Linked DNA regions of Schizosaccharomyces pombe. The protein of the gene in region 1 interacts with the protein of each later gene in a biochemical or structural test. Each region holds a gene or a part of one and is shown on either strand. Other genes may lie near its edges.

Evidence for each region.
Region 2: of the proteins of pmc4 (region 1) and cdk11, one has a biochemical effect on the other in vitro, tested with the Schizosaccharomyces pombe proteins (one study listed by BioGRID).

The regions. Positions count from the first base shown.
Region 1 is NC_003423.3:3,515,480-3,519,754, forward strand, and holds pmc4 (mediator complex subunit Med4), read left to right. Parts: upstream 1-1,981; 5' UTR 1,982-2,009; coding exon 2,010-2,729; 3' UTR 2,730-2,986; coding exon of another isoform or gene 2,987-3,275; 3' UTR 3,276-3,317; coding exon of another isoform or gene 3,318-3,569; 3' UTR 3,570-3,610; downstream 3,611-4,275. Other genes in the region: cell wall glucan 1,6-beta-glucosidase Exg1, read left to right, coding at 1-882; TREX/TREX2 complex subunit Pci2, read right to left, coding at 2,987-3,275, 3,318-3,569, 3,625-4,122, 4,170-4,275. UniProt on the Schizosaccharomyces pombe protein: Component of the Mediator complex, a coactivator involved in the regulated transcription of nearly all RNA polymerase II-dependent genes.
Region 2 is NC_003423.3:1,793,065-1,797,491, forward strand, and holds cdk11 (Cdk11-cyclinL compex kinase subunit Cdk11), read left to right. Parts: upstream 1-1,916; 5' UTR 1,917-2,175; coding exon 2,176-3,030; intron 3,031-3,075; exon of another isoform or gene 3,076-3,088; coding exon 3,089-3,430; 3' UTR 3,431-3,615; downstream 3,616-4,427. Other genes in the region: rps1601 (40S ribosomal protein uS9), read left to right, coding at 883-1,257, 1,429-1,476; vacuolar membrane cation-chloride cotransporter Vhc1, read left to right, coding at 3,950-4,427.

The DNA.
Region 1 (4,275 bases):
CCTATTGGGTATTGGGCCTTTAATGTGGTAGACGGCGAACCATATGTTCAAGGGCAAGAGTACTGGCTCGATCAAGCTCTTACTTGGGCTGAACAATATGGCCTTAAGGTTTGGATTGACTTGCATGGTGTTCCAGGCAGCCAAAATGGATTTGAAAACTCTGGTAAGACTGGTTCCATTGGATGGCAGCAAAATGACACTGTAACTCGTACTCTTGACATTATTACCTATGTTGCTAATAAGTATACCCAATCTCAATATGCCAGCGTGGTTATTGGAATTGAGACGGTAAATGAGCCTTTGGGCTATGGTCTGGATATGGATCAACTTAAGCAATACGATTTAGATGCCTATAATATCGTCAATCCTCTTTCCAGCTCTGTTGCTACTATCATTCACGATGCCTATGTTGATCTTTCTATTTGGGATTATGGTGTTGTATCTCCTTCTTCATACAATCTTGTTATGGATGTCCATCGTTATCAACTTTACGAGTCGGATGAGTGCTCAAAGACTCTCGATGATCATCTTTCAGATGTTTGCTCCATTGGTGATTCCATTGCTTCCTCTCCCTACATTACTGTTACTGGCGAATGGTCCGGAACTTTAGCAGACTGCACGATTTTCGAAGAAGGAGTTGACTCTTCGACATTTATTGGACCAAACAGCGGTGATATTTCCACTTGGACGGATGAATATAAGGGAGCTGTTCGTCTGTTTATCGAAACTCAGTTAGATCAATTTGAACGCGGTGCTGGTTGGATTTACTGGACTGCTAAAACTGGTGGACCAAGTCCTACTTGGGATATGGGATTACTTATTGAATACGGCGTATTCCCTCAACCTTTCACTGATAGACAATATAGCTCTTACTGCGGTTAAGCAAAGCCATATCAAAGTTAAAAAAAAATTTTATCTATTCTAGCTGTATAACACTAATTTATATCTCACACATCGTTGTCATGTCCTGTCCTTGCATTTATCATCTACTATCATTTAACGTGCTGCTATCTACTATCCATTCAGTCTTTGTTTGTTTGGCATTATCTTTAGACATTAGTTTTTAATATATATTGTTGTTTTCGAAATCTTTTAGTTATGTGATATTAATATTTTGGTAGCAAGTTCCTACTAAATTAATATTTAGCTTAATAGTTTACGTTCAATATTGCATATTTTTTCGAACTCTATATTAACAGTAGCTGTACTTTGGAGAAAGTTGACCGAGAAATCTTTTTAAAGTTGTCCAATTGAATTTTCAATTATCAAGTATCTTCAGTTTACTTATATGAAATGTATTTTCTGCTCTACTCTTATAAGTCAGTATTGAGCCACATAGACGGACCACTTTGAGTTAGTCTCGGAAAAGCAAATCGACAGAATAGGTTTTCACTCAGCCACAGGTGACATATGTTTAAAATACTTTTATAAAAATTACATTTAAATTGAGCGATTTCTTGGTAAAGTAATATTACACATTTTCTGATCTGATATAGGCTTTATACGCATTAAACGAAATAAGCTCATTAAGCATTCTTTAACGAACTCGCTTTTTTAATTTAATGAGATATCTAATTCACTAGTATGTATTCATTATGTTGTCCCTAACAAGATCAAAATTGTTACACTGTAAATGTAACGTAGTTTGTCGACTAATTTATACGAATAATAGCTTTCTTCTTGCCCAAATTAGTGAAATTTGTTAGACAATTTAAACAATTAAAATCATATACAGAATTAAATTGACTAATTCTATTTAATCGAGAGTAACTTAAGTATTGTTCGTCGAGCGTATATACCAGCTGCTACTTATTGCCCTTGTGGAGGAGGACATTACTGTAATTTACCGTGTTTTAGCACATTAAACCTTTTAAGGATGTCTGTTTAACTAACGGTTACGGATGTTTAAGGAGTAAAAAGTCGAGTCTGCAAAATAACTGTAACCTGACCTACTAGATGATCGAGCAATTGTTGAGTAGTTAGTATATAGTAATCACATATGCTCCCCAATGGAATATCAAAGAGCCATTGATTCTATTGAAGAATGTCTCAATAAACAGTTAAGACTGTCATCCGAAAAGGTTGACCAATATGTACTAATAGAAAACTGGACCTCATTAGTAGGCCACTTGAAAACCTTACACTCTTTAATATCAAATTACACAAATGGTAGAGAATTACAAAATGAAATTAGTTCTTTGCTGAAGCAGGATAAGGAACTGGATTTACAAATTCAAGACTGCATGAGAGAAATGACCTCAATTTATGATACCCATCTTCCAAAAACAGTGTCGGGGAGAAAACGACAAAAAGTTAATGCTGAAACACTCCTTGATTATGGTAGAAAACTTTCCAAGTTTTCCTCTGCACCTCCTGGGTACAATCCCGAGACGGGTCAAGATGCAAAAGCTCCTGTGCATTATCCTTGGCCATCGGAGGACCAGATGCGAAAAACTCTGTTGTTTCAGTTTTCAACTAGCATGGTTCCAAATTTATCGGCTACAGCGTCCCAATTATTTTCTGAACAGCCTCCAAAGACGAACGAGCCAACGGAAACAGAAACAGAAATTGATGCGAACAAAGCCGTTGAAGAAAAAACTAAAATGAATTATCCTGCCTCTCCAACATTCACTACGCAAGAGGAAAATAAAGAAGTAGAATCGCCAGCTAATAAGGATGTCTTTGCAGGATTTGATCTTTTTGATCCAGAAATGGAAGAAGATTTTTGATTCTAAATTGTGTTATTTGTCAAGTGATATCTGGTATTTTACTTTTCTAATTATAGAGTTTTTTGCTTTGACCAAATACCCTTTTGTTTTAAAAATGAATAAAATTACGCTTTGCCGTTTAGACTGTATTTATTTAGCTTTCAGACTTCGCAAAGCAAGATGATTGAACACTGTTCCTTGCTTAACATTTGTCAATTCAAATTTAATTAATTTTAAGTATAATTTTCGAACAATCTACGTTTTCTGAGTTCATTTAATTATGCGTTAGCATGAAAAAATTCCTTTTCTGCGTGATCATTCCTTGCTATGGGCATAAGGCTCTCTATTACAGAAAAACCGAACGATGGGTCTTTTTTAAGGACTAAAGTTGATGATGCATGAATGATATAACCTTTAATATATCCTTGGTCAATTAGAGAAACACAGATACATTCGACATCGTCCATGTCATATGAGTTATCATTTGTACTTAAACGGGCCGCGGTTAACAAGTAAGAACCAGATACGTGCGGGGTTTTTTGGCTTTGCTCAAAAGTAAAAAGAAACCTTTTTAAATTAGTCGAATATTTTAAAAAATCTCAAACGTACACCTTTCTAAATAAATTCCTCCACAGGATGATTTCACATCTATCCAATAAAGTTAGATATATTCCTCGTTTGATAAACCATTTCCTCCTGGAATTGTCCTCCAAAGATAATCTGAACGACTTGATATCACCACTTTTCAAAGCTTTTATTAAAGGTTCGAATGCTGCAGTCAATTTGTATTTTTCTAATAGCCCTTTTGTTGGCGATTTTCCTAATATAAGTAAACACGTTGTAAGATAGATTAGAGAAAGCCTTTTTTGATTAGTAAATATAAACGAATCCTATTTTTGAGTAAAATAAAACATACCTTTTTTGATGATAACACTCATCAGGGCACTGAAGAAACGAAAAAAGTAGATGGTCCTTTGCCTGATGAATTTTGCGTTGATAAAGATGACACCTTCCTAAATAATAACGAAACGTTACTAATTCCGCCATTGTAGCGCGAGAAATATCGGCACCCGAAGAGATGACATTAGCTTGAATAGTTTGGCAAAGACGAATTTGCTTTAAGCGAAAATATAGTAAACAAAGTAAATTGGCAATACAGAATATCGCATCCTTCTTCGAAGGGTTAATGTTTTGTTGACGATCACTCAGTATACTATTGAACGTTCGTAAGACGTTCCTAGATGCATCGCTCACGTATTTCCTCTGTATGAACCCATTACCATCAAAAGAATCTTCTAAAGTAGGTGTAGATGTATCTAGCTGAAGGGAGAGCTTTACATAAAGCTTTGAAACGCGTTTTACAATTGTACACAACCATGCTCCATCGATATGGGAGAAGCAAGTTGTCAAGTTACTAGAAAAACAAAAGTGAGAAATAATAAACAAAAAGTTTTTAATTACCTATACAAGTTTTGTAACAATTCCCATTTTCGTTGATCAGGAGAAGATGCAGCATTTTCAACGTACTCAAAATAGGTAGTTACCAATTCCTTCCAACCTCTTATTC
Region 2 (4,427 bases), 1.7 Mb from region 1:
TATGCTCTTTAAGTCTACAATAATATTACAGAGTTTTAATTGGACTATTTTAAAGCTATCATTTTTGCCAATTAGAAAGGGATATATGTCCTTCATCAATTCACTCTTTCGTCCGATCACGGAGTGTCATCGGTGTATAAGGAGAGCTTTGTTCTCAAGATTATAATTTGTTGCAACGGTAGATTTTTCATATAAAAGTGTATTGAATAGCCCTTTTAAATGCACAGACATAATTCGATGCTTGTTTAATTTGCATTTTTTCTAAATCTTTTCACATGTAAACAAATTTATAAACACCGTTGAAAACCATTCGTAATCTTATATTTCACTGCATGTTCTTAATTAAATAAATTGTGATTAATAATTCTTATTGAATAATGTCCAGTGAGCTAAACCAAAAATTTGGTGTATCACAAATCACAGCACTTTAATCATTTTGCCTTGTTTGTTCGGACATTAGGAAGGAAATATAGTATGAAGAAAGCAATCTGTTATGCTCAATTTCGTGTCATTTCGGTTTTCATACAGAATATTTCCCCGTTCCCTCACAGTTCAATTTGTAACAAAGCAACCCAGCAGTAAATTCTCATAGACTTACGAAAATTTCAATACTTTCTGTCTCTACATTAACACTTAATGCTAAAGAATACCTCACGCGTTCTGCATTCTGTAGAATTCTACTTTTCACCTCGAACTTTATCACAGATCGTTATGCAGATCGTGCGTTACATTACGTTATTAGTTTAGTGCTTCGTATAATATATTTTATCGTAACAAAATAACTTTTGCTAATTCAGTGTGACTGTTTTTGCAAACAGGAACCATGCCGAAACTTTTTTGGCTTTCAGGACTACAACCCAGTAAAACTATCCACGAGCCAACATGCAGTCTGTTCAGTGCTTTGGAAAGAAAGGCAATGCCACAGCAGTCGCCCACTGTAAGGTCGGCAAGGGCTTGATCAAGGTCAACGGTGCCCCTCTCTCTCTTGTTCAACCCGAAATTTTGCGCATGAAGGTCTACGAGCCTATCTTGGTCGCTGGTGCCGATAAGTTTGCCGGTGTTGACATTCGTGTCCGTGTCTCTGGTGGTGGTCATGTTTCTCAAATCTATGCCATTCGTCAAGCCATCTCCAAGGCCATCGTTGCTTACTACCAAAAGTTCGTTGATGAACACTCCAAGGCTGAGCTTAAGAAGGCTCTCATTACTTATGACCGTACTTTGTTGGTTGCTGATCCTCGTCGTATGGAGCCCAAGAAGGTATGTGCTAAACGAAGAGAAGTTCATGACATCTTCGGAATCGATTTCTTGCACGATTTATTGTGTTGTCGAACTTGTTCCGTGTACAGAATGTTAATGATACTGTATCTCTCGATACGACATAACATTTGTTTCTTTTTTTTAGAATGTGTTACTAATGATTTTTTTTAGTTCGGTGGTCATGGTGCCCGTGCTCGTCAACAAAAGTCTTACCGTTAAAATGTGTTTGGCTGTTTGGCTTTTTTCCATTATGTATCTATACAATTGATTTATCATAAATATTGTTTGATACTGTGTACGAGCCAACCGTTGGTGTTTTCGTAAACCCTTATTCATAATTCTTCGGTATTGACATATATGAAACAAAAGTTCAGTGTACGAGAAAGCGACTGTAGAAATGTATTTAGAGATTTTAATAGTACTTATAGTTTCTATAGTGCTGTCGTGTAATTGCTTAGTCGATTAGGTGTAGTGGAAATTCCTTGTTCGGTATTGTAGGAATATCAAAATGGTAGATTGAACGAACGAGTTAGGTGAGTAGGGCCGCCGCCATATGATGGATTGTGTTTTTTGAGTGTTCAAAATTAAACAATTAAAGATTATTTAATTCAAGGTTGCTTCTTCTTTTTTAGTGTTTTGAAAATCTCTCACTATGCACTGTGCGACTGCACTTACGCAGGTCACTTCTTACTTTTTTAAATATCACATGTCGAAACGGCTTGCTGAAAAAAAAATAGGAGTTTTGATCATTTTACTTTTCTGCTAATATTCAGTTAGAAATCCCACAGTGGTTATCGAGCAATGTCATTTTAATTGAGAACAAACAAGCACCGAAAAATAAATCCTTATTTGAAGTAGATAGTTTTGCAAATCTAACGATAAATTTACTTGATAAAATTTGAGTGATTAGACACCATTATGGCAGGCTCCAAGTGGGAGACAGAAGAAACGAATCAATTCGCAATTGAAAATCAAAAATTAGAAGAGGAATGGCGTAAAAAGCGACGGTTAGAAAAAAAAAGAAAAAGAAAAATATTAGAGGAAGAAGAGAAAGCTGAAGAAAGAAACATTGATGCTTGCAGGCTCTACTTGATGGGGAATACACCTGAACTTAAGTCTTGCAATTCTATTGATGATTATGAAATATTGGAAAAAATTGAGGAGGGATCTTACGGAATCGTTTATCGAGGTCTTGACAAAAGTACGAATACCCTGGTTGCACTCAAAAAGATTAAGTTTGACCCTAATGGAATTGGATTCCCTATTACTAGTCTGCGAGAAATTGAATCACTATCCAGCATTCGACATGATAATATTGTAGAATTGGAAAAAGTGGTTGTTGGTAAAGATTTGAAGGATGTTTACCTAGTTATGGAGTTCATGGAACATGATCTCAAAACATTACTTGATAACATGCCCGAAGATTTCTTACAATCTGAAGTCAAAACACTGATGCTTCAACTTTTGGCTGCCACGGCATTTATGCATCACCATTGGTATCTACATAGAGATTTAAAGCCTTCTAACTTGCTAATGAATAACACCGGCGAAATCAAACTCGCCGACTTTGGATTGGCAAGGCCAGTATCAGAACCCAAATCCTCTTTGACACGCTTAGTTGTGACTCTTTGGTATCGTGCTCCTGAACTTTTGCTTGGTGCACCAAGCTATGGTAAAGAAATTGACATGTGGAGCATTGGATGTATCTTCGCTGAAATGATTACTAGGACTCCTTTGTTTTCTGGGAAAAGTGAGTTAGATCAATTATACAAGGTATGCGATTTTTGATTTTTTATTCTTACCTTAAAAAATTCCTAACAATAATATTAAGATATTCAATTTGCTCGGTTATCCGACTAGGGAAGAGTGGCCCCAATATTTTCTTCTTCCTTATGCAAACAAAATTAAACACCCTACGGTCCCTACCCACTCTAAGATTCGTACTTCTATCCCTAATTTAACGGGAAACGCGTACGATTTATTAAATCGACTTTTAAGTCTAAATCCTGCGAAGAGAATATCTGCCAAAGAAGCACTAGAACATCCTTATTTTTACGAATCTCCCAGACCCAAGGATCCTAAATTTTTTCCTACTTTTCCTAGTAAGGCCAAAGGTGAATCAAAAGAAAAAAACGTGTTTCAAAGTTTTCGTAGTGCATCTCCAAAGAAGTGATTTTGATGAAGTGAATATTGGCATTATAATACGTGGAAATGTAATTGGCCTTAATTTACACTACTTATATTACTAATATTTAGATATTTCTTTATTTTTTCCGTTTAGTCCCCAAATTGCAATTGTAATTGTAAACATTTTATGATATCATTGATTTTCGATTTATGGCCATTTATTTGAGTAAAATTTCTCCCTTTCTACAAAACGTTTCACTCATAGTGTTCAGTAGTCCTATTTTTAACTGAGGTAAGTGTATTCGAGCATCGATGTTTTCAAGCAAGCTGGTAATGAACTTTCATGAATTGATAGTAATCTGTTGCAAAGTATTGTCAAAAAATTTTTCTTATATCACTGCTGATGGTTTTACTATATCTATGGGACCCCTGTTTCTATTACATGACTACACTCACTCTTCCTTACCATTTCCAATTTTTTTAGTATTTAATAACCTTGACAGTTCCTACCACAAAATTATTGCCTTCCTTATTTTATATTTAATGGGGATAATTTTTTGTGATTATGGCAAGACTTTTAACTAAATCAAGTCAAGTATTTGATTTTTTGGCAGATAGATTATCAGTACGAAAATCCAGACGATTTTGGGAAACACAGGAAAATTTAGAGTCTTCCACACCTTTATTACAAGAACCACAACAAAGTTATCGTAGTAATAGTTTTAATGAATTACCTCCGTTGTCTAGAAGTGTAACGTTTGCTGAGAATGAACAACCAAATGAAGCGGTGAAATTGGGAACGTTTGAAGGTTGTTTCATTCCAACTACTTTAAACGTACTCTCCATCCTTCTTTATTTGAGATTTCCTTGGATTATTGGAGAAGCTGGTGTTCTTAAAACATTGCTGATGTTATTTATTAGTTATGCGGTAGGTATATTTACAAGTCTATCGATCTCTGCAATTTGCACGAACGGTATGGTACGTGGCGGAGGTGCATATTATGCGGTTTCTAGATCTATTGGCCCCGAATTAGGAGGCTCAA